5 linked regions of the Cricetulus griseus genome follow. The protein of the gene in region 4 interacts with the protein of the main gene of each other region in a biochemical or structural test. Links are inferred from orthologs where the notes say so. Each region holds a gene or a part of one and is shown on either strand. Other genes may lie near its edges.

What was found.
Region 1: the proteins of Mdc1 (region 4) and Rnf8 form a complex in vitro, tested with the Homo sapiens proteins (2 studies listed by BioGRID and IntAct, with this or other methods). The link is inferred for Cricetulus griseus from reciprocal best matches to the Homo sapiens genes MDC1 and RNF8.
Region 2: the proteins of Mdc1 (region 4) and Topbp1 are reported together in a solved structure, tested with the Homo sapiens proteins (3 studies listed by BioGRID, with this or other methods). The link is inferred for Cricetulus griseus from reciprocal best matches to the Homo sapiens genes MDC1 and TOPBP1.
Region 3: the proteins of Mdc1 (region 4) and histone H2AX form a complex in vitro, tested with the Homo sapiens proteins (5 studies listed by BioGRID and IntAct, with this or other methods). The link is inferred for Cricetulus griseus from reciprocal best matches to the Homo sapiens genes MDC1 and H2AX.
Region 5: the proteins of Mdc1 (region 4) and Cdc27 form a complex in vitro, tested with the Homo sapiens proteins (2 studies listed by BioGRID). The link is inferred for Cricetulus griseus from reciprocal best matches to the Homo sapiens genes MDC1 and CDC27.

Annotation. Positions count from the first base shown.
Region 1 is NW_023276806.1:258,077,241-258,083,333, forward strand, and holds part of Rnf8 (E3 ubiquitin-protein ligase RNF8), read left to right. Parts: intron 1-2,353; coding exon 2,354-2,482; intron 2,483-6,093. UniProt on the Homo sapiens protein: E3 ubiquitin-protein ligase that plays a key role in DNA damage signaling via 2 distinct roles: by mediating the 'Lys-63'-linked ubiquitination of histones H2A and H2AX and promoting the recruitment of DNA repair proteins at double-strand breaks (DSBs) sites, and by catalyzing 'Lys-48'-linked ubiquitination to remove target proteins from DNA damage sites.
Region 2 is NC_048597.1:211,574,606-211,580,698, reverse strand, and holds part of Topbp1 (DNA topoisomerase 2-binding protein 1), read right to left. Parts: intron 5,060-6,093; coding exon 4,839-5,059; intron 3,958-4,838; coding exon 3,809-3,957; intron 3,586-3,808; coding exon 3,474-3,585; intron 2,095-3,473; coding exon 1,931-2,094; intron 1,193-1,930; coding exon 1,055-1,192; intron 1-1,054. UniProt on the Homo sapiens protein: Scaffold protein that acts as a key protein-protein adapter in DNA replication and DNA repair. Composed of multiple BRCT domains, which specifically recognize and bind phosphorylated proteins, bringing proteins together into functional combinations.
Region 3 is NC_048597.1:156,019,936-156,025,818, reverse strand, and holds histone H2AX, read right to left. Parts: upstream 2,917-5,883; 5' UTR 2,836-2,916; coding exon 2,404-2,835; 3' UTR 1,561-2,403; downstream 1-1,560. Other genes in the region: Hmbs (porphobilinogen deaminase), read left to right, coding at 97-216, 430-483, 596-682, 763-936; Dpagt1 (UDP-N-acetylglucosamine--dolichyl-phosphate N-acetylglucosaminephosphotransferase), read right to left, coding at 4,497-4,562, 4,648-4,803, 4,965-5,052, 5,351-5,539. UniProt on the Homo sapiens protein: Variant histone H2A which replaces conventional H2A in a subset of nucleosomes. Nucleosomes wrap and compact DNA into chromatin, limiting DNA accessibility to the cellular machineries which require DNA as a template.
Region 4 is NW_023276806.1:229,746,398-229,753,225, reverse strand, and holds the start of Mdc1 (mediator of DNA damage checkpoint protein 1), read right to left. Parts: upstream 4,241-6,828; 5' UTR 4,238-4,240; coding exon 4,102-4,237; intron 2,694-4,101; coding exon 2,313-2,693; intron 2,228-2,312; coding exon 2,152-2,227; intron 1,757-2,151; coding exon 498-1,756; intron 380-497; coding exon 311-379; intron 161-310; coding exon 68-160; intron 1-67. UniProt on the Homo sapiens protein: Histone reader protein required for checkpoint-mediated cell cycle arrest in response to DNA damage within both the S phase and G2/M phases of the cell cycle.
Region 5 is NC_048600.1:117,571,686-117,578,274, forward strand, and holds the start of Cdc27 (cell division cycle protein 27 homolog), read right to left. Parts: upstream 4,326-6,589; 5' UTR 4,214-4,325; coding exon 4,187-4,213; intron 4,063-4,186; exon of another isoform or gene 3,376-4,062; intron 1-3,375. UniProt on the Homo sapiens protein: Component of the anaphase promoting complex/cyclosome (APC/C), a cell cycle-regulated E3 ubiquitin ligase that controls progression through mitosis and the G1 phase of the cell cycle.

The sequences.
Region 1 (6,093 bases), about 28 Mb from region 4:
AAATTGGCAGGCGTTAGAGAGCTGCTTATTTTTACATGTGTGTTGTTTTTTCACCTGCTTTACCTAATCTGATCCCTGAACATTCACTAGTCTGTCTCAACCCTGTAGGGAAACTTAATCAAGTGTTGACTTACTCATTGAGGCTCAGTTCAGTGAACTAATCTATTACTTCTGAATAGATTGGCAGTCCCGGGGTAGCAAGGGCAAGAGGACTACAGGTTCTACATGGTGCCATAGTTCTTACGGGATCACACCTATGGAGAGAGAGACCCGCACAAACCAAGAGAATGCCGGTCAGGGTGAGGATTGACCCTCCTTGGCCTGTGTATAAGAGAAGCCTGCCTGGTGATACGCACGGATGGACCCTCATCTGGTATCGAAGGGAACCCTTTAGTAAACTATCTGTCCGAGTGGGTGAAAGGGGGAAGGAATGGTTAGCGGACTTCCTGGTTATTCCAGAGACAGAGCCCTGCAGAGGAGGGGGCTAGGGAAGACGGGCAGGAACAAGGGGATGGTCTGCGTTAACATCAGGGTGCTTCATGGTTGTTAATGGAGCAGTGCCGAGGGAGTTCTTAGGGGGCTGAAATAGAACCATTGTATTCTAGGACTGGACATTTCTCCTCTGGATGCTAAGTCAGGGACAGTTTCAGAACAAGGTGCTCTCCCAGTCTTCTGTACTGTGTTCCCCAGTGGCAGCCAGGCTGTTTCCCCTCAAGTGGAATATGGAATGCTTCCTCTAAAACAGCTACTGAATCTGGGAATGGTCAGTGAATGAGGATGGTATCCCTGAAGATCCCCCCCACCACACTAGTCCTTAGACCTGCACATTCTCCATTGAAGAGTTTGCGTGCTGTGGTGGATATGTAGAGGTCAGGACAACTTCAGGAGTTCTCTGCTCCACTGTGGGCCCCGGTAAGAGATGATCACACACAGAAATGAATCGGGAAACAGACCCGAATCTCAGAAGACGGTCACTTCTTTCCCTACAAGTTTATGATTAGATAGGTCTGCCAGGAAGTGTGACGAGTGGGAACCAGAGCTTTGTTTCTGTCTTCTACAGACCCTCAAGCCGTTGCTGTGGGTAAGTGGGGACCTAGGGTCAAGGAATTTGGTTGGTAGACTTTGCAAAGTGGGCATCCATGTGCGTATGGGTGCCTGCAGGGGCCACAAGAGGGCACTGAATCCGGATTTGGAGTTAAGAGCTCTCTCTAATCCCCATTTTATTTTATTTCCTTATGTCTTGACTGGAAGTTCAACATCAACTGTCGTGTCAGTTTCCTGGAGACTAATGCTAAAGGAACATTATGTCTGTCTGTCTGATGACAGATTTAAAGAGTTAAAGTCTCAATGAGGCAGTGTGCTAGTCTGAACAAGCAAGATGAAAATGAACAGAAACCAGTGTCAGGTCCTCCATATGAATTCACATTTACCAACTCGTCATAGTAATTTGGGGGAAGGAAGGATGGAGAAACAAGAGTTATTTCTCAGGCCGAGGACACTGTGGCAGTGTACTGGAGCGCCATGAAAGTCAGACCCACACATCAGTCGGTAGCCATGCCTAGAACTGGGAAAGTGGTCCATGACTTGACTTTGTAGACCAATTTAAATTGATTTTCTTAAATAACAGCTATCACAATAAACACAGGCCCTGGGGACTCAGGTAAAATGGCTGGGAACAGAGGGCCAGGAATAGTGACTTGGAGGCTACTTCACAGCTGTGTGTAGAAGGAGATTGGAGATTTCCTGATGGACTCGGGGCAGAACCAGGGCCAGCTAGAAGAATTTCCAGAGAAAGGGATGCTAAGCTGGGCATTTAAAAAGCCGAGACCTGTCTTACTTGTGTGATGGATGGATGCCAGTGTTGAAGACAAACCGATGGGAATGGGATGGTAGAAGTGGATGACTGACCGACCGTTCAGGGCTGTGGTAGCCTGAGAATTCATATCAACTCTTCCTTATTTTAAGTGATTATTTTATGTGTATGCCTGGTGCCTGGGGGTGGGGGCAAGAGGTAACACTATAGCAGAAGAGGGCATCGGGTCCCCTGCAGCTGGGAATTGTGGATGGGTTATGAGCCACCATGTGTCTGTTGGGAAGACAAACCTGGAAGAACAGCCGTGCTCTCAGCCACTGAGCTCTGTCTCCAGTCCTCCGTGGTTAAGTGTTGCCTTTTTCTCTCTGGTGGCTCCCTGTGGCCGCTGAGGAGGGAGAAAACAGTGGATGAACAGTTGAGGCTCCTCAGATGTCTGCTTCCCTAAGTCAGGGCCTGCGTGCTGCTGGTTGGTAAGACGGTGAAGAGCCTCCCTGTCTATCATAGTGACTGACTGTCTCTCACGTTGCCTCTGTCTTTCAGGTGACTATAGGACGAGGATTTGGTGTCACCTACCAACTGATGTCAAAGGTATGCCCTCTGATGATTTCCCGGAACCACTGTGTTTTGAAGCAGAACCCTGAGGGACAGTGGACAATCATGGACAACAAGGTACTGGAGCCCATGCGAGCCTGATGGCTCTAGTGAGGGTTATGTACTTGATTTATTTATTTTTGGTTTTTTGAGACAGGGTTTCTCTCTGACTGGAACTCACTCTGTAGGCCAGGTTGGCTTCCAACTCCCAGAGATCTGCCTGCTGCACATCTTTAATCCCAGAAAAATTTACTTTTCTTGACACCTGATAGTTGTTCTCATATAATATTCAGAAGTGTAGCCACGCCCACCTGTTCTCTTTCTAAGTGCGGCACTTCTGTGTGCTGCAGGAAGTTAGATTGTGCAAGATGATTGCTAGTGACCTGGAGCGAGGGCTAAACCGCCAAGAGAGAGTCTAGAGTGGAGCTGTGGCTCCTTTTCCAAAAATTAGACTATATTTCTGGAGAAATTAGCCCCTTTGAAAGGCAGCAGTCAAAGATTCTGGGAATCTGCCTAAGCTTATGGGGGACGGGAGACCTGGGGCAGAGAGAGAGAACCCCTGCAATGCACTGCTTTTTGCCTTCAGTACACACACACAGACCTCCACACATCTCCATACAAATACACGTGCACACACTACACACACCCGCAAACTTATACACACATCTACATACACAAGACACTCCTACATGTACCCCCCCACATACACGGACACACCCCTACACACATACACACCCAGGTCTCCATACACACCCCTACACACAGACACACACACTCTCCTCCACACACATACACCTACACCTATACACACACCACACATATCTACATACACACCCCTGCACACAGACACACCTATATGCACCCCCCACACACACACACTCTTTCTCCTCCACACACACACACATCTGCATACACACCCCTAAACACAGACACACCTACACACCTATACACCTACCTCTTCACACACACCTACATATACATACATATACACACCCCTACACACACACAAATACACACACATTTTCTCTCCTCCACACATACACAAACCCCAATGTAAACTCTCTCTCTCTCTCTCTCTCTCTCTCTCTCTCTCTCTCTCTCTCTCTCTCACACACACACACACACACACACACACACACACACAAACACACACGCGCCTTTAAAATAAACCCGCTTGGGGCTGGAGAGATGGCTCAGAGGTTAGGATCCCCAGCACCCACATGCAGCTCACAACTGTCTATACCTCCAATTCCAGGGGACCCGATACAGACATACATTCAGGCAAAACACTAATGCTCATAAAATAAAAAACAACACAAAACAAAAAACCTGCTTAACTGTTCGTGTTCTCAGAAACATTTTACTTTGAATAAAGGCTTTTAATATCTTTTTAGATTTATTTTATTATTGTATTACTTACTTGCATGTGTGTCTGTGTGTATTGTATGCACATTTGTGCACAGGTGCTTAAGGCCAGAAGAGAGGTTTGGGTTCCTCAGAGCTGGAGTTACCCACAGGCGCTTGTGAGATGCCCCACATGGGTGCTGGGAATTGCTCTAGGGTTCTCTGGAAAAGGAGCAATGCTGAGTCATCGTTTGTTCCCTTTAAATGAAATTTAAAGTTGCCAGTCCAGTGGGAAATATACAGAGTCCAGCAGTTAGGAAGCCCCTAAAGTGCAGATGTCCAGGCACCCAGGGATACAATGGAAGTAGACCATGGGATGGGGGCCTTTATTTTTAATGGGGGTCTTGTTATGTGGTGTAGACCAGCCTCAAACTCATCTGACACTCGGTGATTTCTACCTCTGTGCTGTAGAATCTGGCATCTCAAGCCCTATGAGTGTATTTTGTGACTAAGTCTCACTGCTTGGAGTAGTAGTTCTGCAGGTCTGCTGGCATTAGCAACAACCAGAGTGGCCCTGACTTCTGTTTGCTGTTCTAGCCCTTACCCGGCAGACTTGGCTTTTATGTGTGTGGGAACTCTGTCTCTGTATTAAATGTCTGTGTACGACATGCATGCAGAGCCTGGGGAAAGCCAGAGGGAATCAGAGTCCCTGGAACTGGAGTTACAGATGGTTGTGAAACTCCTTATATGTGCTGGGAATTGAACCTGGATCCTCTGCCAGAGCAGCCAGTGCTCTAACCCGTGGGCCACCTCTCTAGCTCTGGCCGAGGACATGGTTCAGTAGGTAAAGCACTGGCCACACAAGCTCGAAGACTAGAATTTGGCTCCCAAAGCCATGTAAAAGGCATCCGAAGTATCGAGTGTCTGTGGTCCCTGTGCTCCTATAGCAAGTTGGCAGGGAGAGACCGCCTCACACCGAAGTGGGGTGGGGGTAGGGGGATGATGACAGGAGGACCCCAGAGCAGCAGGTATGAAACTGTCTCACACCAAAGCGGGGGAGGGGGGCTGCACATGACTTAGACACATTCAGTGGTAGTATAATAAAATTAAGGGTTTCTATTCTTCAAAAGATAGCAGTAAGACAAGCACAACCCAGAGTGGAAGTGTTTGCTGTGCACATAACTGATGAAATATGATCATGTACGTACAGAGAGCTTCAAATCAGATTTTTTAAAAAGACAGATATAACCCAGTTTCTAAAACAGACTAAAAGACAGGCACATCACAAAAGAGTGTACCAAATTCTACTCTATAGCCACGAGAAGTTGTTGGAACTCAGTGATGAGGGAAATGCAAATCAAAACCACGAGGGAATACACTGGCTAGGATAAGGAATGAGTACAAGCATCTTTCCTCTTTGGAGGGAAGGTAACTTGACACACCTACTTTGAAATCCATAACTCATTCAGTTGTACATTTTATGTTTAGAGCTCATTTCTGTCTCTAGGAAGGAAACACTTGCAATGCCCACCCACGGTAGACTGTATAGAAGAAAGAGTATTTCTGCAATCAACACTGCTGTATTGAACATGGGTACTTCTTACAGACATGATACTGAGTGAAAAGGCTTCCCAGCAAGTTGCCAGGCATGCTAATATGTGCCCGTAGTCCCAAAATTTGGGAGGGTAGAGCAGGAGATTCCGTGCCAACCTGGGCTGTGTAGCCAGACTGTCCCAAAGAAACAAAGTAGGTGAGTTCAAATGTGACCAGCTGTGTGTGGCAGTGTGTCTTTAATGGTAGAGCTGGGGAAGTGGGTAGAGATGAGAGCTCACTGTCCATCAGTCCAGCCTGATTGCTGACCTCCAAGCAGTCAGAGACCTTGCTCTTTTACCTCTACATTTCCCTGAGATCAGTTCCCAGCACCCGCCCCAGGTGCCTGGCATCATCCACTTATAACTCCAGCTGTAGGGCTCCTCGGCCTCTGTGGGCTCTTGGCACTCAAATGCACACACACACACAGAGAGAGAGAGAGAGAGAGAGAGAGAGAGAGAGAGAGAGAGAGAGAGAGAGAGAGAGAGAGAGAAGAGAGAGAATGAATTTAAAATAATAAATCTTTTTAAAAAATGAAGTCAGGTATGGTGGTACATGCTTTTAATGCCAGCACTGGGAAGGCAGAAGCGGGCATATCTTTGTGAATTTCAGCCCAGTCCCAGGCCAGCCAGAGCTACGCGGTGAGACCCTGTCTCACAAAAAGCAAAACAAAAGTAACAGCAAGGGAGAATGGTGCTGGAGAGATGCCTCAGTGGCTAAGAGCACTTCCTGCTCTTGCAGAGGACCCAGGTTCA
Region 2 (6,093 bases), on a different chromosome or scaffold from region 4:
CTTGAAAAATTGTTTAAGAGTTTTAGCCATCAGGAAAATGAAAACCAAACTAAATTGAGATTCCATCTCATCCTAGCCAAAATGGCTATCATCAGAAAATAACTAACAAGAAATGCTGGCAAAGATGGGGGGGAACAGGAATCCTATATACTGCTTAAGAGGATACTGTCATATGGAACACAGTACTTCTAATGGAGTATTAGTTAGCTGTAAAGAAGAATGGAATCATGTCATCCACAGGGAAACGGATAGAACTGGAGATCATCACTTAGTCAGACCAAGGACAAATAATGTTTTCTCTTTATGTGGGATCAAAATTTTAAAAACTTAAGGTTAAGATATAAATATAGAGCACGAAAGCAGGTCGACGACTATGTGGGGCAGAGGAAAGGGACCAGCTCTAAGACAGAGAGAAATGGGTGGGAGAGGACAGACAGTAGGAGAGTAAAGATGGACAAAGTACAATAATATGCACGCATGAAAATTCTTACACAACTCATCTTGTATGCTAGCTAAAAAAATAAATCTGGTTTTTACTGATATAAATCACAACTATTAATACTGCTGTGATTTGTTGCCTAGATTTAAGGAATTCTAGCATTCAATTATCGATTAATTTTTAAAAAGGACATAATTTCCCTATTCAACGTATAGGCTTTGGGTCGCAGACTCCTTTGGGAGAATCTGTGAACCCAGTTTAGGACTCCTGATGCTACACCCTGAAAAGGCAAGTTAACTTTAGAAGACCCATGTCTTACTGTATAACACAATACTCTGTTTTTTGAGACAGGATCTCTCTACAAAGCCTTGGATGTCCTGTATTCAGACATCCTCCTGCCTCTGCCTCCCAAGTGCTGGAATTAAAAGCATGTGGCACTTGCAGAGCTACAGTTAAAATTTTAGTTCAACATAGAATGCACAATAAACAGAGCAATTAAGGAATAAAAGATAATTAGAATTACTTGGTCAAGCATATTCTCTTTAAAACACGTCATAATACTGAATCCTATTTGTAGTATCTATATAATCATCATATAATTATATATGTTCATACCTCAACAATGCCTGACTCTTGCCTTTGCTGGATTCTTTTCCTCCACCTCATTGCCGCAAGTGCTAGTTTCTGCTGGTGTTCAGTGACATCAGTGAGAGCATCCAGTATGGCACTACTTCCCCACTCATAGTCTTCTTCCTAGAAAAGCAGGCCAGTGAACTCTGGGTTCCTCTAACCCAGAAGAGCACGGTGCTAGGCACAGGCTTCTGGCTCTTAGAAGCCTTCAGTCTTTTAAGATCAAAGCTGTATATTCAATTGTTAGATACAGAGAACACTAAACATTTTGTGAACACACAGAAAATACAGAATCAAGTACAGCTGGCTTTTAATTAAAACCAGAAACTCATTTCCCAGAATCAAAACCCCTGGCCAGACAGCTGTATTTTGGCAACTTAGTAATAGTCAGGATATTTGGCTTCATGGGAATAGTCAGAGGAAGCATGAACTGAGACAATTCCCAAAGAACTCAGATCGGAAGCTTCAGGAAACACAGGGTAGATTCTGCTGTCCTGGTCTGTTTGTGACAATTACTTTAATGTATAATGAGCTAACAGTAAGAAAAAGGCTTATAATGAGATATCTTGGAATCTTCTCATGTTAAGAGAATATCATTTCAATAAAAAACACTGACAAATTAGATAACAAAAAGTTAGTAGGCCACAATGAAGCTCATTTTTTTGTATACCAAACAAAACACTTAAGAAAAAAGAATGGGAGTAATGCAGCCTGACCTGTAAACTCTGTTTTGTTACACAGCTGGTGTAATCTGACTGACTCCATGTGGTCATTTACATTATATGCATGGTAAGTGTATGAGCAGGGATCTCTTGAGACATTTACACAAGAACCAATCTTTCTAGGAGCATGAACACACACCTGCACAAAGCACCCAGCGGTCCTGCAAGCTTCCAGGTAGGAACGATGAAGCACCCACTTGCCAGCTGCCATGGAGGCTAAGTACTTCTCATTGCGCAATGGGTACCCCACAACCATGTGTGTGCAGTTGGGGTCTGAGCACTGCTTCTCAATCACCGACCCACCTTGTAGAGAGGGAACATTTTATTAATATATAGGAAAAACCTCTACTTTACTAGGTTTCTTACCATCCTTCTAGAAAACCATGTTATTTCAACTATGCTTAAAAATTACTTATATAAAATGAACAACCTAAATGAAAAATGTTGGCACATAGATATGTAAAAGTAACATTCAAATTATCAGCCCTCATCTCTGCCTTTATCACACCATGACCTAATGATTTGAAATGTGGATTAAGGTTTTATAAAATCAAAATTCCAGTGCTAACTCATGCACACTTGAAATTCTGGGCTTCATATGCATGCATCAAGTACTCTATACTAAGCCACACTACCCCCAGTCCTATTCTTTATTTAAAAAAGAATGCATTTTTATTATTTATGTGGATGGGTGTTTTGCCTGCATGTATAGCTGAGTAGCAGAGATGTACAATACCTATGGAAGCCAGAAGAGGGCATTGGATCCACTAGAACTGGAGTTACAAGATGGTTGTGACCCACCACGTAGGTGCTGGGACTAGAACCCTGGTCCTCTACCAGTGCTCTTAACCCAGAGCCATTGTTCTAGTACCTCCTACCCCTTTGTTTCAAACAGGGTCTCACTGTGCAGCCCCATCTGACCTCAAACTTGAGATCCTGTTTTAGCCTCCCAGCTGCTGAGATTACCAATGCTTAGCTTAGGCCTGTCATTTCTGAATGTTTTCTTTTGCTATGCCAAGCTGTGAGATCAAGGTCTTAGAGTAACTATGTTGACTCTATAGAGCTATCAAACAACTGAAAAAAAACTAGTGTAGATTCAGGTGGTATTTCAAAGGAATAAAAACAAAACAAAAAATCCCCACAAAATATTTCACTGGTGTTTTGTGCTGATTAAATACTGAGTAACAGTTTTCATATACTAAAAATAAAAAAATATTTTTAAAGGTATTTTCACCGATTTCTTCTCAGCTCCCAACATGTGTCTACTAGGCAGAGTGGTGTGACCCAGGTGGCTCACATCCTGTTCCTATTGGAGTCCAGCTACAACACATCAGGTCTTCCAGCTTGCTTATCCCAGGTGTCAGAGGAAAAGTCTCATAGCTAGGGATAAGGGTAATGTCACCGAGAAGGAATCCTGAGTACTGGGAGGCTCATGTCACCAGGCCCAGCTAAATCTTTAAATTCTTAGGTCTCATGACCTAGTAGTTTTAGATGCAGATTAGGTCTTTATAAAATCAAAACCCTAATGCGGACTCAATTAACCCATGTTCTTTTCTTAACGTCTCCCCATTACACATGATGTATGACTGCATTTGTATTCCAGTAATATGGTTATAATAATGGTATGTTTTAAAGTAAAATACCAGCAGAAAAAAAATTGTAAACAAGTGAAATACTGGTACCTAGTTTCTTAATCAGGTGACAGTAATCAACCCGCTCTTGAGAATTCAGAGATGACATCTGGAATACATACTGTTTTTTAAGTTTTTCACGACTCTTCTCCATTTTTTCAATCTAGAATGCAATAGTTACATTTTAGAAAAAATATTAAAATTTTCAGTATAGCTATTTTATAGTGACATTTTAGTCATTCTTCTAAAGTACAAATATATAAATTGTATTTCAATCAAAGAAATTCAGTTTTCAGTAGTGACGAGGCTAATGCAGAGAACGGATTGCTACTCCAGCATGAGAACACCACTCAAAGCTGTCACCACCATAGCAAGGATCAACAAACCTTGTCCAGAGGATGTGGAGCTGCAGGTGGCTTGGCCAAGGGGAAAGCAATGCTGGGAGGTTGAGGCACAGGGATTGGATGCTTATCCGCTGCTGGAGTTTCTGCTTCATCAGAGATTGGGAGTTCTGGGGCTTCAGTCACACACAAGGCTGAGGGTGAAGAAGAAAATGTCATGTAATAGTGGGTGTAATTTAGAATTAATCTAGAGAATATTCTGATTTGTCTTGATCAAAATAATGAACCATGAAGTCTGCAATGCAAAAAAGGCTAAGATGAGGTGTCTGCCTGAGACAAAAGAATCTAAGGTTTAAAACCTGCATAGGTACAACCCTGCCTCAAAAACAAGCAATACATGAAGAAGAGAGCAGCCAACTTCTCCAAGTTAAAAATAAACACAACTGAACAGCTCTGAAAGGGCAAGTGTGTTATCTGGGTTTTGTGACCCCTTCCTTTCATCCAGCACAGGAAGATAAACACCCAGTGTGAAGAAACAAATAAACAAACAAAAGGAACTTAGGAAAGCTCACAAAAGCCAAAGAACAAACACACTATAAGCTGGGTGGAATTCAGATAGTTAAATAAAAATGAGTTACAGGGAGAAAGACCAAACACTACCTAAAAGAAAGAGGCTAGAAAGCATTGCTGTGTGAATCATGTTTGTAGAATGGCTAATCCTAAATTTCTACATTTCAAGATCAAAAAACAGTTTTCAATTGATTTATACAGTACTAATCTTAATTTGTCATTTGCATGTGCAATACAGGTAACCACAATATCTTTAAGAGGTCAACATGCATATAGTACAAACAGATATTTTTTTTCTTTTCTTCTTCTTCTCTTTTTTTTTTGAAGGTTTTTCGAGACAGGTTTTCTCTGTGTAACAGTCTTAGCTGTCCTGGAACTGGCTTTGTAGACCAGACTGGCCTCGAACTCACAGAGATCCGCCTGCCTCTGCCTCCCAAGTGCTGGGATTAAAGGCGTGCACTGCCGCCACTACCACCACCCGGCCCAAACAGGTATTTCTTATTACCCTGCTCAGCAATTTCTGAATGGTACACAGGCTCTAGAGAAGGAGAATCATCCAGTTTTTTAATGTCAACCTGAAGCTCAGAATACTGTGTGGGGTAGCTAGGCCACTGCAAGTTGCTGGCGAGCCTTGCTCTCTCCTCCCTTGCTGTCGGGTCATCCCAAATGATCTGCTCGTTCTGGGAGGGCTCTGTGTTGATATCAGGCACTATCTGTCGAGACTGCCTAAGGAATAAAAAGACAATTTTAAATAAGTCACTACAGAATCTAAGGGCATAAGTCGGCGGGTAGTACAGATACATAATATTTGTTGAGTAAATCAATCAAGGACAAATTTCTTCTTTTTGTATAGGGTCTCTTTATGGAAGAGTACAGCTTTAAACTTGAGATAACCATCCTGTGCTTCTACCTCCCAAGTGCTAAGATTATAGACATGCATCCTAGTTTGTGCTACACTGCTGTGTTAAGACACCATGATCAAAAGCAACTTGGCCAGGAAAGGATTTATTCAACTTACAGCTGTAGCCCCATCACCAACAGAGGTCAGGGTAAGAACTCAAACAAGAACCTCGGGGAAAGAACTGAAGCAGAGATCAGAGAGGAGTGCTGCTTACTGGCTTGCTTACCATGGCTTGCTCAGTTTGCTTTCTTATATGGCCCAGGACCACCTGCCTAGTGGAGGTACCACACAATGGCTGGGCTCTCCAACATCAGTCATTAATCAAGATGTTCCACAGATTTACCTACATGCCAATGGGACGGAGCCATTTTCTTAAATGAGATTTCATCTTCCTAGATGCCCCCAACTTGTGTGAAGTTTACAAAACCTAGCCAGCATAGCATGCAACCAACATATCCAGCTAGTTTTTTTTTTTTTTTTAATATTTCTACTGGAAATTTAAAAAATATATTTGTTATCTTTACTTTCATCTATCTATCTATCTATCTATCTATCTATCTATCTATCTATCTATCTATCTATTTTGAAGCAGGGTTTCTCTGTGTAGCCCTCACTATCCTGGAACTTGATCTGCAAACCAGGCTGGCCTCAAACTCAGAGATCTGCCTGCCTCTGGGATTAAAGGCATGCGCCACCACTGCCTGGCTCTATTTTATTTTTATGTGCATTGGTATTTTGCCTGAATGTATGTTTATATGACAGTGTCAGATCCCCTGAAGGTGGACTTACAGGCAATTATGAGCTGCCACGTGGGTGCTGGGAACTAAATCCAGGTCCTCTGGAAGAATAGCTAGTGATC
Region 3 (5,883 bases), on a different chromosome or scaffold from region 4:
GCAGGCTTTGGCAAGCAGAAGACTCTGGGAAGCAAGTAGGAGTGGTTCCCATGTTCAGCCATGACTGGAGAAAGATTAGGCCTGTTTTTCCTTTAGGGAGCCCTAGCAGTGGAAGTCCGAGCCAAGGACCAGGATATCTTGGATCTAGTGAGTGTGTTGCATGATCCTGAGACTGTGCTTCGCTGCATTGCTGAACGGGCCTTTCTGAGGCACCTGGTAAGACTTGGGCTTCTCCTATGGTGGTGTGAGGAGGACCTGGAATCAGGAAGGGCAGCAGGGAGATGTAGTGGTAGCTCAAAAGTTGGGGAATTGTTTTCTAAGTGTGGACCTTGGTCTGGTCCTAGCAGCCTTTTCAGTTAATATCCTTAGAGGTTTGTGGTCAAAAAGCAGTATTAAAGGCCCTTAGAGCTCAAAGGACTGTCATTGCAGGAAGGAGGCTGCAGTGTCCCAGTAGCAGTACATACCATGATGAGGGATGGGCAGGTAAGCAGCAGAGATGGATGAGGGAAGGGAGGCACTGTGCCAGTTCTGTGTGCGCCCAAACATGTAAGCAACTTTTCCTGAATATGCCGGTACAACCCATTTTGTGTCCTAGCTGTACCTGACTGGAGGAGTGTGGAGCCTAGACGGCTCAGATAGCATGCAAGAGACCATGCAGACTACCATCCAGGTCCCTGTGCAGGTACTGACTGGGAGATGAGGGAGGAATAAACAGAAGTATCATCTTCCCTCTCACCAAATTGTAACTCTTGTGTCATGCAGCATGAAGATGGTCCAGAGGACGACCCCCAACTAGTTGGAATCACTGCCCGGAACATTCCAAGAGGAGCCCAGCTAGCTGCTGAAAACCTGGGCATCAGCCTGGCCAGCTTGTTGCTTAACAAAGGAGCCAAGAATATCCTGGATGTTGCACGGCAGCTTAATGATGTGCACTAACTGGTCTATAGGTTACGGGAACCTGGCTGCCACTTTCTAGTGCCCACATCTGGCTTTCAAGTGCTCTGTGCTCCCTAACTTGGAGAGGGTGACTAGCCCAGGAGATTGAACCACAGGGTGTTGAGACTTCCAGAGACACGAATCACCTTGGGGCCTTGATGACTGCGCCTTTCCTCCTCAGTAGTTAGGGCTTCATCTCTTTAGAAAAAGTCAGTGCCAATCTCGAATGTAACCAATGCCACTAATATTAAACCAGCTCTCAATGTGGTTGTTTTGGTGGAATTGGGGAAAATATAAATAAACCCAAAGCCCTTTTAAACCTGAATTCTGAGTCTGGGACTTCTCTGTTGAAATACTTTCTAATTGCCTCATGTTCTCAGAATGCATCCCAGGAAGCACCGAGCAAAGAGAAAACTGCCTCAATTCCTACAGCCTGCCTGTTTTCAGTTAACAGAACCTACTTGTATTACAGTCTTGCCCATCCCCACTGCTCTAAGGGAACTTACAATTCCACTCCCACCTCCCAACACAACACATGCCAGGTACATGGCTCTACCACGGAGCTATAGAACCCCAACCCCGGGCCTACAGCAATTCGAAATTAATCAAGACACTCCATCTTTTAAAAAAACAGAACAACCATTTAATAAAATTAGCCCATTGAAACTCCCCACTACCTAAGGTTCTAAACTTGGGATAGCTGCAAAATTCCAGTTCAGAAGCCAGTAGAGGCTCAGTCCAGATAGGGATTCACCGACTTGTGCTGGTATCTAGGTGTTTGGGTTGTGAATTGAGTCGCTGGGAAGAAAAGGGGATAGCTAGGCCCGGCTGCCAGTCTCCTGCGGCAAGAACACAGCTCTTCTGTCCACAGGCCTGTAAGCTTCTCCCAAACCCTTTCCAGGAGGCATCCTGGAGAAAACCAGCTCATATTACAGTGATTTTGTCCCGGCCACACCACACACCGGCCGATGAACGAAGATGGGGTAAACTGGTATGAGGCCAACGAAGGGGAAAACACAGGACCAAACAATATGATCCATTTCTCTTCACCAAAGCCTGGTAATCAAGTCACTTCTGGAAGGTCCAGGCGAGGGCTAAAGCACCAAGCTGAAGAAAGGACGCCCGGGTTGCAGCTGCAGAGTAACTCACCTTCAGGCCCACCTCAGCCGTACGTCACAGCAAAAGGCCGACACTTCTGGAAGGTGTCGCAACCTCTCCGCGCGGCCCATCGAGACGGAGACCGGCGAAGCTCCGCGATGGATAAGTACCGCGGCGCCTGACCCGGAGGCCGTGCAGGGAAGGGGAGGCAGAAACGCGCGATGGCAGAGAAAGGGGAAGAGAATGGGAACGCGGCGGCCCGGCCCGCAGCCCTAAGTGGCTCAGCTCTTTCCGTGAGGGAGGTGGTGGCCCTTAAAAGGGCCTTTGTGGAGGTGTGGGGAGGGCTGGGCGGCCAGGGCGCGGGCTCCCTCAGTACTCCTGAGAGGCCTGGGTGGCCTTCTTGCCGCTCGCCGGCGCCTTGGGCCCCACGGTGGCGCTCGTCTTCTTGGGCAGCAGCACGGCCTGGATGTTGGGCAGGACGCCGCCCTGAGCGATCGTCACGCCGCCCAGAAGCTTGTTGAGCTCCTCGTCGTTGCGGATGGCCAGCTGCAGGTGGCGCGGGATGATGCGCGTCTTCTTGTTGTCCCGCGCCGCGTTGCCCGCCAGCTCCAGAATCTCAGCGGTGAGGTACTCGAGCACGGCCGCCAAGTACACCGGGGCGCCGGCTCCCACGCGCTCGGCATAGTGGCCTTTCCTCAGCAGCCGATGCACGCGGCCTACCGGGAATTGTAGACCGGCGCGCGAGGAGCGCGATTTCGCCTTGGCGCGGGCCTTGCCTCCGGTTTTACCGCGACCCGACATCGTATACGAGGTAGAAAGCAGAGAGCAACACCGACGACGAAAGAAAACTGCCAACCGCCGCAGTCAACTGTCGCCGCGCGCGGGCGAGCTCGCCCTTATAAACTCCATGGACACGCCCCCGCCTCCCCCTGATTGGCTCTTTTCCCCAGTACCGGCCTCTGGTTGGTTGGAATTAACCCTTCGGTGACGCGCCTAGGCGAAAAGAGCTCGCCCAGCGATTGGTCCAATTTGAAAACCTTTTACCCGGGGAAGAAAGCAAGGCGGAGTGGCCGCAAACAGCAGGCTAATCATCCATGGAAGTGGCCAATCCTTATTAAGCGCGCGAAATTTAAACGCTATTGCGCGCCACCAGAACCGGAAGACTAGGAAGGTGGAGTCTGGAGGCGCATGACTGTCTCTGGGAAATCTGGGCCGGCCAAGGGTTTTAAAGTAAAAGGGTTAGCCGAGCGATAGTGGTGCACACCTTTAATTCAAGCACTCAGGAAGCGGAGGAAGGGGGAGCTCTGAGTTCAAGCTTAGCCTGGTAACAAAGCGAGTTCCAGGACAGCCAGGGTTACAAGGGGAAACCCTGTTTCGAAAAACATTTTAACAAAAGTTAAAAAGGGAAAGAGTTCTCCTTCCAGGTCAGGGGCACTCCCACGCCCTCCTCAAATTTGGCAAAGGGAGGGTTTAAAGGAGAAGAAATGAAACCTGAGAGTACAATCCTATGCCAGAAAACTGAGTGCTGTGATCCTTTGTGCTACGACAAGTTAGTATTTTAATATTTATTCAACATGTTCTGTCTGGTTTCAGTTCTGTCACTTCTTGCAGGAAGGGGTCTGATGGAACAGAGGTAGGTATTCTCTTGGAAAGGGTACCCACCCCAACCCTTCCAATCGATCCTAAAATGCCCATACGAAAGATAAATAGGGGATAGATGTATAGATTTATTCAGTGGTAGAGCACTTAACAAAGTTCAGTCCTCAGGCCGGATGTTGGTTGCACAAGCCTTGTATCCCAGCACTGGGAGACAGAGGCAGGTGGATCTCTGTGAGTTCGAGGCCAGCCTGGTCTCCAGAGCGAGTGCCAGGATAGGCTCCAAAGCTATACAGAGAAACCCTGTCTCGAAAAACCAAAAAAAAAAAAAAAAAAAAAAAAAAGAGTTCAGTCCTCAAGTATCTCAAAGGCTAGAAAAAGAGGTTGAGGGAGAGAAGCAAGTAAAAGACAATCCTTTATTGTCACCATTTTGAGCACATGGCCCTGCCTCTGATCTTCCTAATCAGAACACTTAATTTTAAAGTCAAATGTGAGGTTACCTTGGAGTATAGGGCCCTAACTCTAGCACATAGCCCAGGTTCTCTCTCAAGGTCCAGCAAATGCAGGGCTCTGAAAGTTGAGCTGTATTTGCATAAGAGCTGCTACATCCCCCTTATGGTGCTGCAGATGGGACAGAAAGGGGAAGAGTAGCAAGCTGAAGAAAGCCAGGGGCAAAGTGCAACTAATGGACTTTAAAGTCCAATAAGGTCCAGGCCAATAATCATTACAGGTGATGGGAGAAGCTGAAAACAAAACTGAAAAAACCAACAGTTGGAGAGGCCTGGACCAGAAGGCAGTCTTGGACCAGACAGGTTGGTCCTGGGTGAGGTCCAACGGAGGCTATGGGCAGTCAGTCTTCAGGGAACTCAGACATCATAGAAGAGTCGGACAAGCTGGTATCGAATGGAGAAGGTGACAGCGCTGCTCAGGATCTAGAAGGAGAAATGGACTGGAATAAGAACCAAGGTGAACTTGAGATAAGAACACTTACATAATTTACCCCACCCTCAGTGTTACCTGCAAAAGCAGCAGGAGCAGTGTGAGGTTTCTCTCATGTATGGGCCCAAAGATTTTGAGTAGCAAGTTGATGAGGGTCATGTTGTTACATTCAGTGAAGGCACCATCCTCACTCTCGCCTCGGTGAACTGTCACTAGCTGGAGGCGCTCTGCTACCTGGAGGGGCCAGAGGTGAAGACAACTTCAGTTACACATTTCATCCACAGGGGATCTTCTTGATGTTTCCAAACTCCCCTCGGGTCTGAAAAGACCAGGGATTCCCTTTTCTCAAGTGAAGGATGGTGGCCTGGGGCCTTACCTCCTTGTTACCTTGTTACCTTTAAAATAAAGGTGCCCAAGAAAGAGAGGTTCTTGGTCTTGAACTTGGAATAGCTCATCTCCAGTTTGCCCGTCTTCGGATTGAGTCTGTAAAGGGAAGATGGTACCATGTGACTGAATCATCTTCCAACCTGCGGTTAGTAAGAGGACCGACACTTAGCACTGAGATTTGTTTCTGGCTCAGCTGCTTACATCTGGGTGAAGGGAACTGTTGTAAGCATCACACTTTATGTAAGTAAATGTGCTTCATAAACTAAAACGGACGACCCACATACAGTTACTCCTTCTTTTCCTCCACTTCCTCTTACATAGGAGATGGACTGGCTGGCTTTAGCTATCCCAAGTAAAAAGCTATAATGACCCTTTGGAGCCCCAGAGCGGCTACCTGGGTATGCGGTGTCGAGGGCAGGGGATGGCGTGAAGGAGCTGAGGCAGCGAGTAGAGGAAATTGAACACTTGTGGAATAAAGAAGAGTAGCATGGTCTTGCTGAAGTGTCCCAAGATTCCCACCACGGCAAAGGTCATGCCAGCAAAATAACAGAAGGTATCTCCCACAAACACCTGTGATGGGTACCTGTATGGGAGAGAGGATCTGAGCCCATGGCAAGAGTCATTACTGACCCTTCTTTCACATCAGACACACCAACAGGCTAGTCCTGACCCTGAGTTCTAAGGGAAAGGCTGTTCCAGAAACTCTGCAGGCCACCAGGCCCTAAAATCATCTACTCCTGAGGGTTCCATAGCATTTATTCCCAGCTATGGCAGGGTAGAGAGCAATTCTAAAGTAACTACAAGGCTGGCTGTGTGGTTCAGTGATAAAAACAGTCACCTAGCATGTACAAGGTCATGAATTTGATCCCCAGCACTGTGTGTGTGTGTGTGTGTGTGTGTGTGTGTGTGTGTGTGTGTGTGTTAGGG
Region 4 (6,828 bases):
TAAAGGACACAGCAGAAGAGGACGAGAAAGGATACAAGGCTGAGGGCTCACAGAGACTATCTTGTACCTGGCGTCTGCAGGCTGAGGTGGGAAGGCCCAGGCTCTTGGGGAAGAGTGCATGGAAAGACTTGCGTAGGCTCATCTTCCAAACTCTGGACAGCTGCACAAGAAAAGACGGCTGGAGCACAGCTCCTCCCAGAATGCCTGTGCCCCATGCCCCATCTTGGCCATACCATCTTTCTAGGACTGCCAATCTAATCCCCTGGCTCTTACTGGCACTCAGATGACCCAAACAACACAAGGTCCTCACCTTCTGAGCTCTGGCCCTCCCTGTCTACAAAGCACTGGGTAGCCGGAAGGCACACATCTTCAGACTCTGCTGAGGAGATAAGAGACAGACAGAATGACAACTCACCCTCAGACTTCTACAGTTCTCTCCTGACTCTTACAGCCAGTTTACTTCAGGGGTCAAGGGCAGAGCAGAGAGCAGCACTTACCATCACGGCAGTCTTTGGCATTCTTGGTCCTGCCCATTTGTACTCCTCTCTCCTTTCCTGTGGGGGTCTGGGCTCCCTCTCTCTGTGGCTGAGTGGGATCCCCCAGAGTAGCTGTAGGCACCACCACTGGCTCTACCAGTGTAGCAGGTGACCTGCCTTGGACCCCCACCTCAAGCATGCTCGCCTGCTCACAAACAGTTGCAGCCCACTCTGTCCCAGCATCTTCTACTCCTGGCTGCTTGCTTTGTCTTACATCTGCCGCTGCTGAAGATGAGCCTTCCTCCACAGCTGTTTCCCAGGCCTCCTCAGGAGGCAGGACTTCCTTCCCTGCTTGTGCACTACTGTCTTCTACTGTGGCAGAGGAGGCCTGGTTTCCCTCTAGCTGACCACCAGGGGAGCCCATATCCACACCCTGGTCTACATCATCACTGGCTCTATGGGGAGCTTGGCTCTCTGAATGTGGGACAGTAAGAGCCTCATCTGTGTCCATGGGGCTGTCAGGGACCACTTCTCTCTTTTCCTCCTCCACGTCTGTGTCACTGTCTTTCCCAGAGGCACTCTGGCTTCGTTCTACGAGGACCTGTGGTTGGGACTTGACCTCTTCCATGCCTGGCTCCCTGCTCCACAGAGCCATCCCCCTGTCTTTCAGATGGGCCAAGGTGACTGCTGCTGAGACTCCATCTTCCTCATCTGTGTCGCTGCTGATCACCATGGCCGTGTGGTTTCTCTCTGGAGGGCCAGCCACTGGAGTCTTGCCTTCTTCCACACCTGTGCCACGACCAGCTGGGCTGTCCTGCAGATGGGTCACGACAGGTGCTCCAGGGTCCTTTTTACCAACTCCAAGCAGGACTTGCTTCTTCCCCGGAACTACAGGGGGGGTCACAGGGATCCTGTCTTCTTCCACGTCTGTATCGCTGTCCACAAAGCCGGAAGGCTGGTGTTCTTCACCCATTTCCGTGTTGCTGTCCTTACCCACAGTGGAGCCCCTCCCAACCACAGCCGCTCCATTGCCAGCCTCACTCTTGACTTTTGCATCTCTGAGCTTTTGCTCAGCAGGCTGAGCCAGTACCAGCTGGATACCAGATGTCACTCCATTAGCTTCCAGCTGCTTGGCCTCTGCAGCAGCACCATCCCTGGCAACTGAAGAGGACTCCCCAACTGCTGGCTGTGGACATAGCTCTTCATCTGTGTCACTGCCCAAGTCAAAGGGCAAAGACGGCCCACGGACACTTTGGGCTGGAGAAGACCCCTCTTCATCACTGCAAAGACAGAGAGCCCACAGAATGTACTCCCTGGATAGGCCACCCCACTCCGCTGTGAGGGCCCTGAGAGTGAGCAGGCACTGCTGCCAGGTGTCTTCCCATCCCCACTGAGCACACCACAAGTACTCTTCATAATTTAATTCAGCTGAGGAAGTAATTATGCCTAGGCTCTCGGCTCCACCTGTCAAGATAATCACCTCATTTATTCAAGACCGACTCTTTATTCAAAGGCCGAGGTGTCTAAAACCAGTTAAGGAAGCTCAACCCTATCGTCCCAATCCTGATACTGAACCCAGAGGTCTGCCAGGAGTCTAAGACCAGCTTGGGCTACAGAGACTGTTTAAAAACAAAACAAAACAAAAGATCCAGGCATCTGGTACTTTGCTACTCACCTTTCTGGTACTACTGTTGCTGATGGAGACGTTGGATTCCTTGATCCATTTGCCACATACCTTCCAGAAGGAAAATCTGGCAAGAACAGGAAGAAATAAATTGACAGTTTACACCCTCATTCCTGTCTCTTCACACACATACACCCAAGGCACAAACTTACCTACTTCCTCCTCCGAATCCTCAGCCAACAAAACTCTGGAGGTTTGGGACCCTCCCTGTATTCTGGGGGTCTTCTCTATAGTTAGAAGTCCCCGAGAGACCAAAGGTGGAGGGACATCCAAGCGACGGTACTGGCAGGGAAAGTCTGCAAACAGAATTAATTCCTGGTCCTTCAGACGATGGCTCACTCCAGGGGTTAGGACCTTTGGGGGCTTTACCAGTTGAGTGCCATTGAGGCTCCCACAATCCTGGAGGATAGGGGCTTTGTTGCAAGCTGAGATTTCAATTACTGCATGCTGTTTAGAGATGGATGGAAAAGGCAGGGCCACAGAGCAGTCGGGGCTTCGGCCAATTACATTCTTGCCAAGGTAGAGTGGGAAATCTAAGGATCAAGAAGAAACATTAAGTTGGGCGTTGGTGGCACACACCTTTAATCCCAGCCCTCGGGAGGCAGAGGCAGGTGGATCTATGTGAGTTCGAGACCAGCCTGGTCTACAAGAGCTAATTCCAGGACAGCCTCCAAAGCCACAGAGAAATCCTGTCTTAAAAAAAAAAAAAAAAAAAAAAAAAAAAAAAGAAGAAGAAACATTAAAGAGTAAGGGCAGAGTCCTGGCCTGAATGAAGATGGTACCTACTGCTCACTCAAAGCTCTCACAGGGTTAAGAACAATGGGCACACCAGCGTAGAAGAGCATTCACAATACATCACTTTGCTGTAATATTCTATCTACTCACCTCATCGGTATTGTTCCAACAGATCCGAAAACAGTTTCATGCATGCTAGCTAAGCACTCTTTCCCTGAGCTACTGCCCTTGCTTTGTTTTTGATCCAGGGTCTCACTATGTAACCCAGATTGTTTTCGGACTTGCTATGTGGCCTAGGTTATCCTCAACCTCACCTCCTGAGTACAGGGATCACAGACATGCACCACCATGCCCAAAGGGAGTTTCTTATTGTAATAAAATACACAATATAGGCTGGGCATATTAGCACATGACTTTAGTTCTAGCATTTGAAAGGCAGAGGCAGGTAGGTTTCTGTGAGTTTGAGGCCAGTCTGCATAGTGAGTTCCAGGACAGCAAGGGCTACATATATACTCTGTCTCGAAGAAAAACAATACACACAATATAAATCTAACCATCGCAATCATTGTAAGTATACTGCTCAGTTGTGTTACATATCCATTTCTAGGCCACAATGTATTTTACCTTTTAAAAATTTTATGCCCTTTAGTGATGGCACACACCTTTAATCCCAGCACTCAGGAGGAGGCAGTGGCAGGCAGATCGCTCTGAGTTCTAGGACAGTCTGAGCTAGACAGAGAAACCCTGTCTCAAAATAAATAAATTTTTTATTTACTCATTATTTATGTATATGTGTGCACCTGCATGAGTTTATGTCCACCATATATGTTCAGGTACCCAAGGTCAGAAGAGAGCATCAGATCCCCTGGAACCAGAGCTACAGGTGGTTTTGACCACCATGTGGGTGCTGCAAACCTAAACCAGGTCCTCTTCAAGAGCAGTAAGCACTCTTAGTCCCTGAACCATCTCTTCAGCTCCCACATTCTATTTTTATTCGGAGCTCTTCATTTTCTCCTAACAAAAGAAAAACACTCCCAGAAAGTACAGGGTACCCGCCTGGAACAGTCAACTCAGGTGGCCTCTTTGTCATCCCTAGTACAACAATTATTATCCTCTTAGAAACATACATAAGGTTTACCAATGATCCAACTGCCTCTAAGGAGAAGACAAGACCCAATACTCATTCAGCTCCCAATATCTCCTGACCTCTTTCTGGTCCATGAGTACTACTGAAGAGACGCAGCTGCCCTATAGGCTCCAAGCTATACCCCAAGGACCCACTGGGTATTTCTGTCTCCTCCTCCTCTTCAGCATCCCAGTCAATAACCTGGGTGTTTTCCATGACCTGTGAGGGAAACACATTATCATTGTTCTGGTCATTGGTTTACACACACTTGTAGAGAAAAAATAACGAGATAACCCTGGAGGAACGTGGAGTGACGTGGGGGTGATTCCTGCCTGCCTTTCCTTCCTTCCTTCCTTCTTTCTTCCCAGACAGGGTTTCTCTGCTGTCCTGGAACTCACTCTGTAGACAAGGCTGGCCTCAAATTGACAGAGATCCACCTGTGTCTGCCTCTTGAGTGCTGGGATTAAAGGTGTGCGCCACCATGAGGTGATGCTTTTCTGTCATTCTGAAGCATGTAAAAATATTGGGGTGGGGCATGGATAGTAAGAATGTCAGTGACAGAATGTTTGGCTAGCCTATGTGAGGCCATATGTTCAACACTTAGTACTATCAATGGGAAAAAAACAACTTTTTTGGGGGCCAGCCAGTGGTGACACACACCTTTAACCCCAGCATTTGGGAGGCAGAGAGAGGCAGATCTCTGAGTTCAAGGCCAGCCTGTTCTACATAGTGAGTTCCAGGGCAGCCAGGGCTACACAGAGAAACCCTGTCTAAAAACAACACACACACACACACACACACACAAAACTTTTGATTAAAAGATGTTGGCATATATCTGTAACTCCAGCACCTGAAATCCCAAGGCAGGAATATTAAGAGTTGGAGACCTGGCCAGGCATGGTGGGTGACACACGCCTTTGATTATAGCACTTGGGAGGCAGGAGTCAGTTCAAGGCCAGCCTGGTGTATGTAGTCTGTTCCAAGCCAGCCAGAGCTACTAGTTAGACCCTGTCTCAAAAGAGTGGGGTATAGAAACCACCCTTGGTTACAGTAAGACCTTGCTCCCCAAAACAAAACAAAAATATTATGTATGTGTATATTTATACTTTTGGTCATGACAAAGAATTAAGGTCCAAGTATACCATTATATATACATTATATACAAAGGAATGTTACATGGGATTTTAGGTACTGGAAACTAAACCTAGGGCTCACACATGGCAAATGCTCTACCACTGAGCTATATCTCCAGCCCCAAAATGGGTACTTTTATTTAAAGTATATAAAAGCATGATAAACTGGATCGAGGTAGTGTATGTCCACAGTTCCAGCTGCTGAAGGAAGCTGAAGCAGTGCAATTGCTTGAGTCCAGGAGTTCCAGGTAAGCTGGGACAACATATTAGGACCTCTTTATAAAAAATAATAATAAAATTGCCTGGCCTTGGTGGTGCATGCCTTTAATCCCAGCACTCAGGAGGCAGAGGCAGGCGGATCGCTGAGTTTGAGACCAGTCTGGTCTCCAGAGTGAGTACCAGGATAGACTCCAATGCTACACAGAGAAACCCTGTCTAGAAAAACAAAATAATAATAATAATAATAATAATATAATAAATAATAATAATAATAAATAGCAAGTTCAAGTTAAGCGGTTAAAGGGACGGCTCAGTGGTTAAGATAACTGCCATGTTCTTCAAGAGGTTCAGTTCCCAGAACCCTCACAGCAGTTCATAACTCCAGTTCCAGAGGATCTGACACCTTCCTTAGAACCAGGCCTGGCCCGTGTGTAGGCACGGGTTGCTGAGAAACTGCTACATGAAATATACTGTCTTCTAACCTCTGACACACAGATCTCAGAGAGCTACTGAGGATCAAACTCAGGGCCTTGTGCAAACTCCAGGTTTTGATGTTCTTTTTAGACAGGGTTCCTCTGTGTAACAGCTCTGGCTGTCCCGGAACTCACTCTGTGGATCAGGCTGGCCTCGAACTCACAGAGATCCACCTGTCTCTGTCTCTTGAGTGCTGAGATTAAAGGCATGCGCCAGCACCACCCGGGCCAAACTATTTTTAATACTTTGTCTAATTCATTTATTCTTCCGAAAAACCCTGTAGGTATAAACTATTCTTTTCTTTTTAGGCGGAGAAACTACAACATAGATGGGCTCCAAGTCAAACTTGCCTAATGTAACTCCCTGGCAAGACGCTTTTTTTCCCCTACACTCCAGATGGTAGCGGGGGAGCCGCCTCTGCATCTCCCCACACCCACAACCACGTCCGTCTCATTGACTTGACAATGAGGAAGCGCACCTGGCACCTCAACCAAAATAAACCCTGCTCTCTCTCTCTCTCTCTCTCTCTCTCTCTCTCTCTCTCTCTCTCTCTCTCTCTCTCTCTCTCTCTCTCTCTCTCTCTCTCTCTCTCTCTCTCCTCTCCTCTCTCTCTCTCTCTCCTCTCTCGGGAGCTACGAGGCCAGAGAGCTACTCGTGAAGGGACAGTCTGACGACCAAAAACCTCAAAACTGCCTGGGAAGACCTTTTCTTTTTTACCTATAAAGATGCCACGAGCCGCTGACAGGGAAGTCAACTCCGTCCTGTCAGCCGCGCCGACGCCTACGACCCTTGCTCCCCGTGAGGAGCGACCATCTTTGGCTGACCCGGCGGCCCACAGATTCCCTGTCAACAAACCTTCGCCTGGGCCGCGGTTAGCAGAGGAGGGAGGCCCTGAAGCGACAACCCGAACTACCTCCGCCCAGTCAGTGACACCCCAGCCAGGCACGCCCCTCTGGCGTGGCCACGGCAGGAATCAAGATG
Region 5 (6,589 bases), on a different chromosome or scaffold from region 4:
AGTCAAGAATACACCTCCTCTTTTTTAATTTCTTAGGTTTCAAATTCTAATTGCTCAAAAAGCCAGTCCCCATTTTTTTTTCTGACCTACAAAGCTCTCTCTTTCCTGAATTCCTTTATTAGTATCTATGTAATTAAATGCATAGTTAACATCCAATTGTTCCTGCTAATCATTCTTCATGTTCTCAGGACTAGAACCCAAGATGAGGAATTATGTCTCCATAGTTTCACAAGTTATTTCCAACTTCTTTTCTTCAAAACAGAACATATTTTTTTTTTTTTTTTTTGAGACAGGGTTTCTCTGTGTAGCACTGGCTGTCCTGAAACTCACTCTGTAGACCAGGCTGATCTGCCTGATTCTGCTTTCCAAGTGCTGGGATTAAGGGTGTTCATCACCACCAGGCCAAAACAGAATTCTTAAATGTCTTCTTTTGAATCTGCCCCAATCCTATCTGGTAGAAAAGCATTTATTATTTTTCTAGGGAATTAGTTTTAGCTTGGGGGAGCTATGAATTGTTTTGACACAGCATCTCACTATGCAGCCTTGGCTAGCCTGAATTCACTATGTAGACAGGCTGGCCTTGGACGAACAGAGATCTACCTGCCTTGACCTTACAAGCCTCACAAGTGCTGAGATCAAAAGGCATGTGTCATCACAAGCAGCTGGATTTTTCATTTTTTAAACAGCACCACTGAAATAAAATTCAGGCAGTCATTTTTGATACCAACTCCAGGAAGACAATCCCCTCCCCATGTTTCAATGGTTCTACTTTCCAAGTTATTTCCTGAATTTCTACCTCTAAAACCTTTATCTACCCTTTTCCTGTTCCACTGCTACTCTAGATACCTTTGCTTCTAAGACGACAGGCTTCTCTTGACCATGATGCTTCTCACGTAGCAGCCATAGTATGGTACTCTTTGAAACATTATTAGGTGACACTTGGGGACATCTTATCCCAAGTCAAAAGTACTCTTTCACTATTAAATAAAACTCTAAGCTGGGCGTTGGTGGCGCACGCCTTTAATCCCAGCACTCGGGAGGCAGAGGCAGGAGGATCTCTGTGAGTTCGAGACCAGCCTGGTCTACAAGAGCTAGTTCCAGGACAGCCTCCAAAGCCACAGAGAAACCCTGCCTCGAAAAAACAAAACAAACAAAAAAAGCAACAACAACAACAAAAAACCTCTAAAAGGATGACATGAATTATGGATGGATAATACCCAAACTCCTTTATTTTGTTTTGGTTTTTGAGACATGGATTTATGTAGCTCAGGCAGACCTTGAACTCCTTATCTTCCTGCCTCTAGTTGGAGTTTCAGATGCAGATTAGCATGCAAGGTTCTTCCATCTAGTTCCTCTATTGCACAGTAAAATCATTTTCAAAAGGCTTGTCTACAATTTCATCCAATACATCTGTGAAGCTTCACTTACAGCAATAATTGATACAGCTTTATCAATTGATGCAGCTATATAAAACACCTGCCTCTTAAAACAACAACAGCTTTCAGTGAAATGGCTCAGAGGATAAAGATACTTGTCACCAAGACTGACTGACACACACATGTACACACAGTAAATGAAAGTTAAACAAGACACCATACCAACAAAAAAATGCCACTTTTACAGGCACCCAAATTAGTACTGTGAATGCCTTTAATCCCAGCCAGGGCTACACAGTGAGACTGCCACAAAAATCAATCTGTGCTTTGAAATATCAAAGATTATTTTGTAAAGACTCAAATATAAAGCCAGGTGCCTGTAATTCCAGCACTTGGGAGGCAGAGGCAGGTGGATCTCAAGTGAGTTCGAGGCCAGCTTGGTCTACAGAGAAAGTTCCAGGACAGCTTGGAACTGTCCCACAGAGAAACCCTGTCTCAAAAAACAGAAGACTCAAATATAAAGCAATGTTTTTTCTATGAGTGCTAACTTGGGGAGGGGCTTATATTTAAGTCTATATGGCACATTTCACTGGGTAAAAATTTTAAGGAGGGGGGTAGGAACAAATAGTTGTGCATTATTTCTGTCAACTTTTTCCTGTGCCTAGATCACCAGGAACAAAGTAAAGAAAATATTCTCAACACTATTTTCATCCTGATATATGGAATGAACAATTCTTAAAACAATTATCTTAGCATCTCTTTACTTTTTTCTTTCATACTAGCTCTTTCTCATTTTCAACAGCATTCCTGCTCAAAGTTAGCTAATTTCTCCCACTGCTAACTGCTCCTTTTGTTGTTATTTTGTTTTTGTTTTTTGTTTTTTTTGAGACAGGGTTTCAGATAGCCCATGTTGGCCTTGAACTTGCTCTGTAGCCAAGGATGACCCTGAACTCCTGATCCTCCGGCCAACTATAAATTATTCTCATCCCCTCACACCCCAAAACTTCTTACAATTACCCTAAAATCTAATGGAAAAAGTTATTATGGAGGAGAGGGAGGTAAATTCCACAGTACTTTAAAAACAAACAGGAAACCTGCTGGATTCTATCTTGCTTAAACAATGTATTCTACACTCTCATGGTTTTCTAGAAGTTAAAAATTTTTAAGTAGTAGTTTACATGCTGTAAACTATCATATCACTTTAGAAGCCTTCTGGCTCCAGAAAAGCAGAAAAGTAAGACAAAACTACAATATGAAATAAAAACTAATTATCTGAATAACCTCCTTATCCGTTTAATTTCATGTTAGGCCTCAAAAGGGCCTTTTAAGGGACTCTACACTAGGAAGAGAAATCTGGAAAGAAATGCAGCTTTGGAAGAATTGATACAACATACAGAGACATGGGCTGGGCAGTGGTGGCCCACGCCTTTGATCCCAGAACTCGGGAGGCAGAGGCAGACAGATCTCTGTGAGTTCGAGACCAGCCTGGTCTACAAGAGCTAGTTCCAGGATAGCCTCCAAAGCCACAGAGAAACCCTGTCTTGAAAAACAAAATAAAACAAAAAAAATAAAACAAAAAACATACAAACATATGTTTTATGTACAGTTCCGAAGATATAATCCAGAATTATATTAATTCAAATACTAATAGCTGTCACCATGTAAACATCTGGAGATGAAGTTCAACTAGGGAAACCGTATTTTAGGCTGCGATGAGACATTAAGGAAATGCTGTACTGACGTACTGAAATATTAAATATTTGTTGTCAGTCTTACCTAAGGCAATTCGCAGCAATTTCTAAAATCGGTTTGATTTATAACTTCAAAATAGCTTATGGCTTAATGATTGTAATTTAATGGAGGCCAACTGTGGTCATGTCAAAGATCATACGGTGGAATGAAACATCTCCCAAACCTGGTCCACCACCAAAGGACAATAGGTTCAGTTTCTTCAGATGTGGCAGGGGGGAAAATGACTTGGCACTGCATCACATACTTCAAAACCCAATAGGCTTTCTTCTGACAACAGCACCGTGTGCGTCAATGCATACCTTGGTGTGGTTAAGGAATGGACGAATGGTGAAATGGATGGGAAAGCAATTATCTCTAATTTCCTAAACACCTTCTAAATCAGCACGGTAAAATGCCTCCTGATACCCATCCTAGGTGATGGAAAAAATCCAGACCTGCCCTTTCGTCCACTCCCCTGCTGGGGTGTTTGCCCCGCAGCAGTGGGCCTGGGAGTTCCCTTCTCAGGTCGTCATTGTCCGGTGGGAAATCCACGGAGAACTGTAACGTGGACAAGAAAGTCTGCTCCCGAAACGAAAACCAGTACCGAAAATACGGGTAATTTTACGTCTTCCTTCGACCACCTCACGTAAAACAAAAGCAAGGAAACACCAGTAAACTTGCCCCACGGGTGTGAAATCCCACCAGCTCGGCTCAAAAGCGCTTCTGTGTCGACCCCCGGGACGCCGAGCACTCGGAGCGCCGTCTCGGGCGGCCCCTCGTCTCCCACCGCGGGCAGGAACCCAGACCAACAAGAGGGGGATGGCCGGACGCCAGGACCGACGGAAACGAGTGATTCCCGCCGAACCCGGCTGGCACAACAGGCGAGAAGTAATGCGGGGCCGGGGCTAACCTCGGCTGAGGCCGCGGGCAAGGCCTCGGGAGTGACGAAAGACAGGTAGGGGGCTCGCCGAAAGGGAGGCGGGAGAAGCGGGGCCTAGGCCGCAGCAGGCCGCGGAGTGGCTGCTCGCCGCTTGCGACCCAGGCATGGCGCCAGGCCTCGGAGCAGGCGCTAGTATTACCTGGACAGGTTCCTGCAGCACCGTCATCCTTGAGGCTCAGGCCCACTTTCTGCAGTGCCTCAGGCCCCCCCCGTAGCGACTCCGGCCCGGCCAGCCCCGGCTCATTTAAACTCACCAGCGACCGTTACCGGGGGATGGGGGAGGCCGAGTGGTTGCCGAACTCCTCCGAGCGTGACACGGAAATACCCGAAGTGGAGAGAGCCAAACGAGAGCGAGACGGAAAAGCCCGAGAGATGTCGGAAATACTCGAGGTGAGCCTCCGGAGGCGGAGTCTGTGGCCGGAAATTGGCGAGTGCTACCGGAAGTTGTTGGGTTGGGCCCAATCGGAAGTTCCTCTTCTCAGCCACGCCTTCGCCCTACGCACGCCACGCCCAATTGGCCACGCTAGCTGGGCCACGCCCAAAGAGCTACTAGTAGGATGGGCCTGGAGGGAGGGATCCGGCCGGCCGGAGTTACCTGTGGGACTGTTGGTCGGGGTAAGCGCCTCCGCCGTTCCCTGTTGTGCACGGTAGATTCAGCGAGGGGTAAAATACTAGTCTGGGGCTGAATTCAATAAAGTCTTTTGAGTTTAGGTCATTATCCACTCCTGGAATTCCTACTCAGGCCTCTGAGGAAAATCGAGGGATAATTGGAACATTGCCATTCCCCAAATATATAGGATTCCTGTATTCAAAGAGATACGGTCTGTTGCAAACAAAAACGCCTAGGCTGTGTACTTGCCTAGCATGCATGAAGCCCTAGGGGTGATCGCCAGTGTCACCTAAACATTGCTCTCCTGCTTTGGGAGGCGGACGCAGAAGTATCTAGAGTACAGGATAATTAAGAACAAGATAGCGAGTTTGAGGCAAGCTTGGGCTACCTGACACCCTGGCTCATAATTGAAAAAAAAAAAATCAGTGTAACTGAGAATTTCGTTATTTGCAACTTGTTCTGGGTGATGTAAAACTTCAACTTCAGAGAAGAGGGAAGTAAATAGGGAAATAGGGATTTAAATGATGGCTGTAGTTACAAACACTAACAGAGGGTTTAATGTCTGCTTTTTGGCCACATCCTCAGAATAAACAAAGGAACTATTAAAATCTCCCTTTTCGTCAGACAAGGAAAGCTTCTGAAAGTTAACTTTCTGTTGGGACTCCTCTGAGCTAGATGTGAAACTGGAAATCTCCTTTTTCCCCTGGATACTGAGGATCTAACCTCTCATTACTGGTAGGCTAAGCAAGTGATCAACAATTGAGCTACATCTCCAGCCCTCTTGTTACTTTTTTTTGTTTTGTTTTTATTTTAAAGTATTGAAGGTACCCAGGCTGTCTTTGAACTTTTAAAACCTGCCTCAGCCTCTCAGACTACCGCTGGCACCAGTCCTGGTTCTGGGAATCAATCAATCTCAGTCCCCCAGCCCCTCATTTCCACATTGTGTACAGATGATACAGTTAGCATTGTCATTTTAGAGATGCTGGGGGTTAGTCATCTAATGGTAGCCATCCTTTTCCTCGTCCCCCTTTCCTTCTAATAGATCCAACTGTCTCCAGACATTGCCTACATACTTGTTAGTCCCATGAAAGATGGGTGCTAAGGCAATTTCCAGCCGGCCCATGCCCTGTTCTTTTAATGGGATTGTGTTGGATGAATTAGAGTGGGAATAAACATCCGTGCTGGCCTATATAACAGTTGCTCACTATTTAAAGTTCAGTTTAAACCAAATGAAATTCTTCAGATATTCTAGTCACATCCCAAAGACCTAAGTCATTGACATAACTAGAGTTGTTATTGAAATAGCTAGAATTGGAGGACAACTTTACCCGTGAGTCTAAGGTCTTGCTAATATCTGGGCCTCTCGATTCTCCCCAACAAAACCTTTTTCTTCATACAGTGATTGCTCACCAGTCAGTGGCCTATCCTAGCTTGAATTGGTGTCTGTCAAGCAAGTCAGTGAAAACAGAAGCTTTGAGGCCCCTTCAAGCCTAGATCTGAAAGTCAAATCCATTGTTGGTCAATTTAAGACACAGGATCAGCCTGGATTTACCAGGAAAACATGCTCCATCTCTTGATGAGGGAATAGCAAAGCAACTCTGCAAAAGATATGCGCAATGAGAGGGATTGGTGGGTCATCTTTGATCCCCCACCACCACCTGGTACATTGATTTCTCCCCACCCCCATAATTTTGCAAATGCTAGGCAAACACTACCATTGAGGTCCCCCATCAGCTCCAGCCATCCTTGGAAATGGAGTCTGGCTGGGTGGTGGTGGCAGTGGTGCACGCCTTTAATCTCAGCACTCGGGAGGCAGAGGCAGGTGGATCTCTGTGAGTTAGAGACCAGCCAGGTCTACAAGAGCAAGTGCCAGGATAGGCTCCAAAGCCACAGAGAGACCCTGTCTCGAAAAACAAAACAAACAAACAAAAA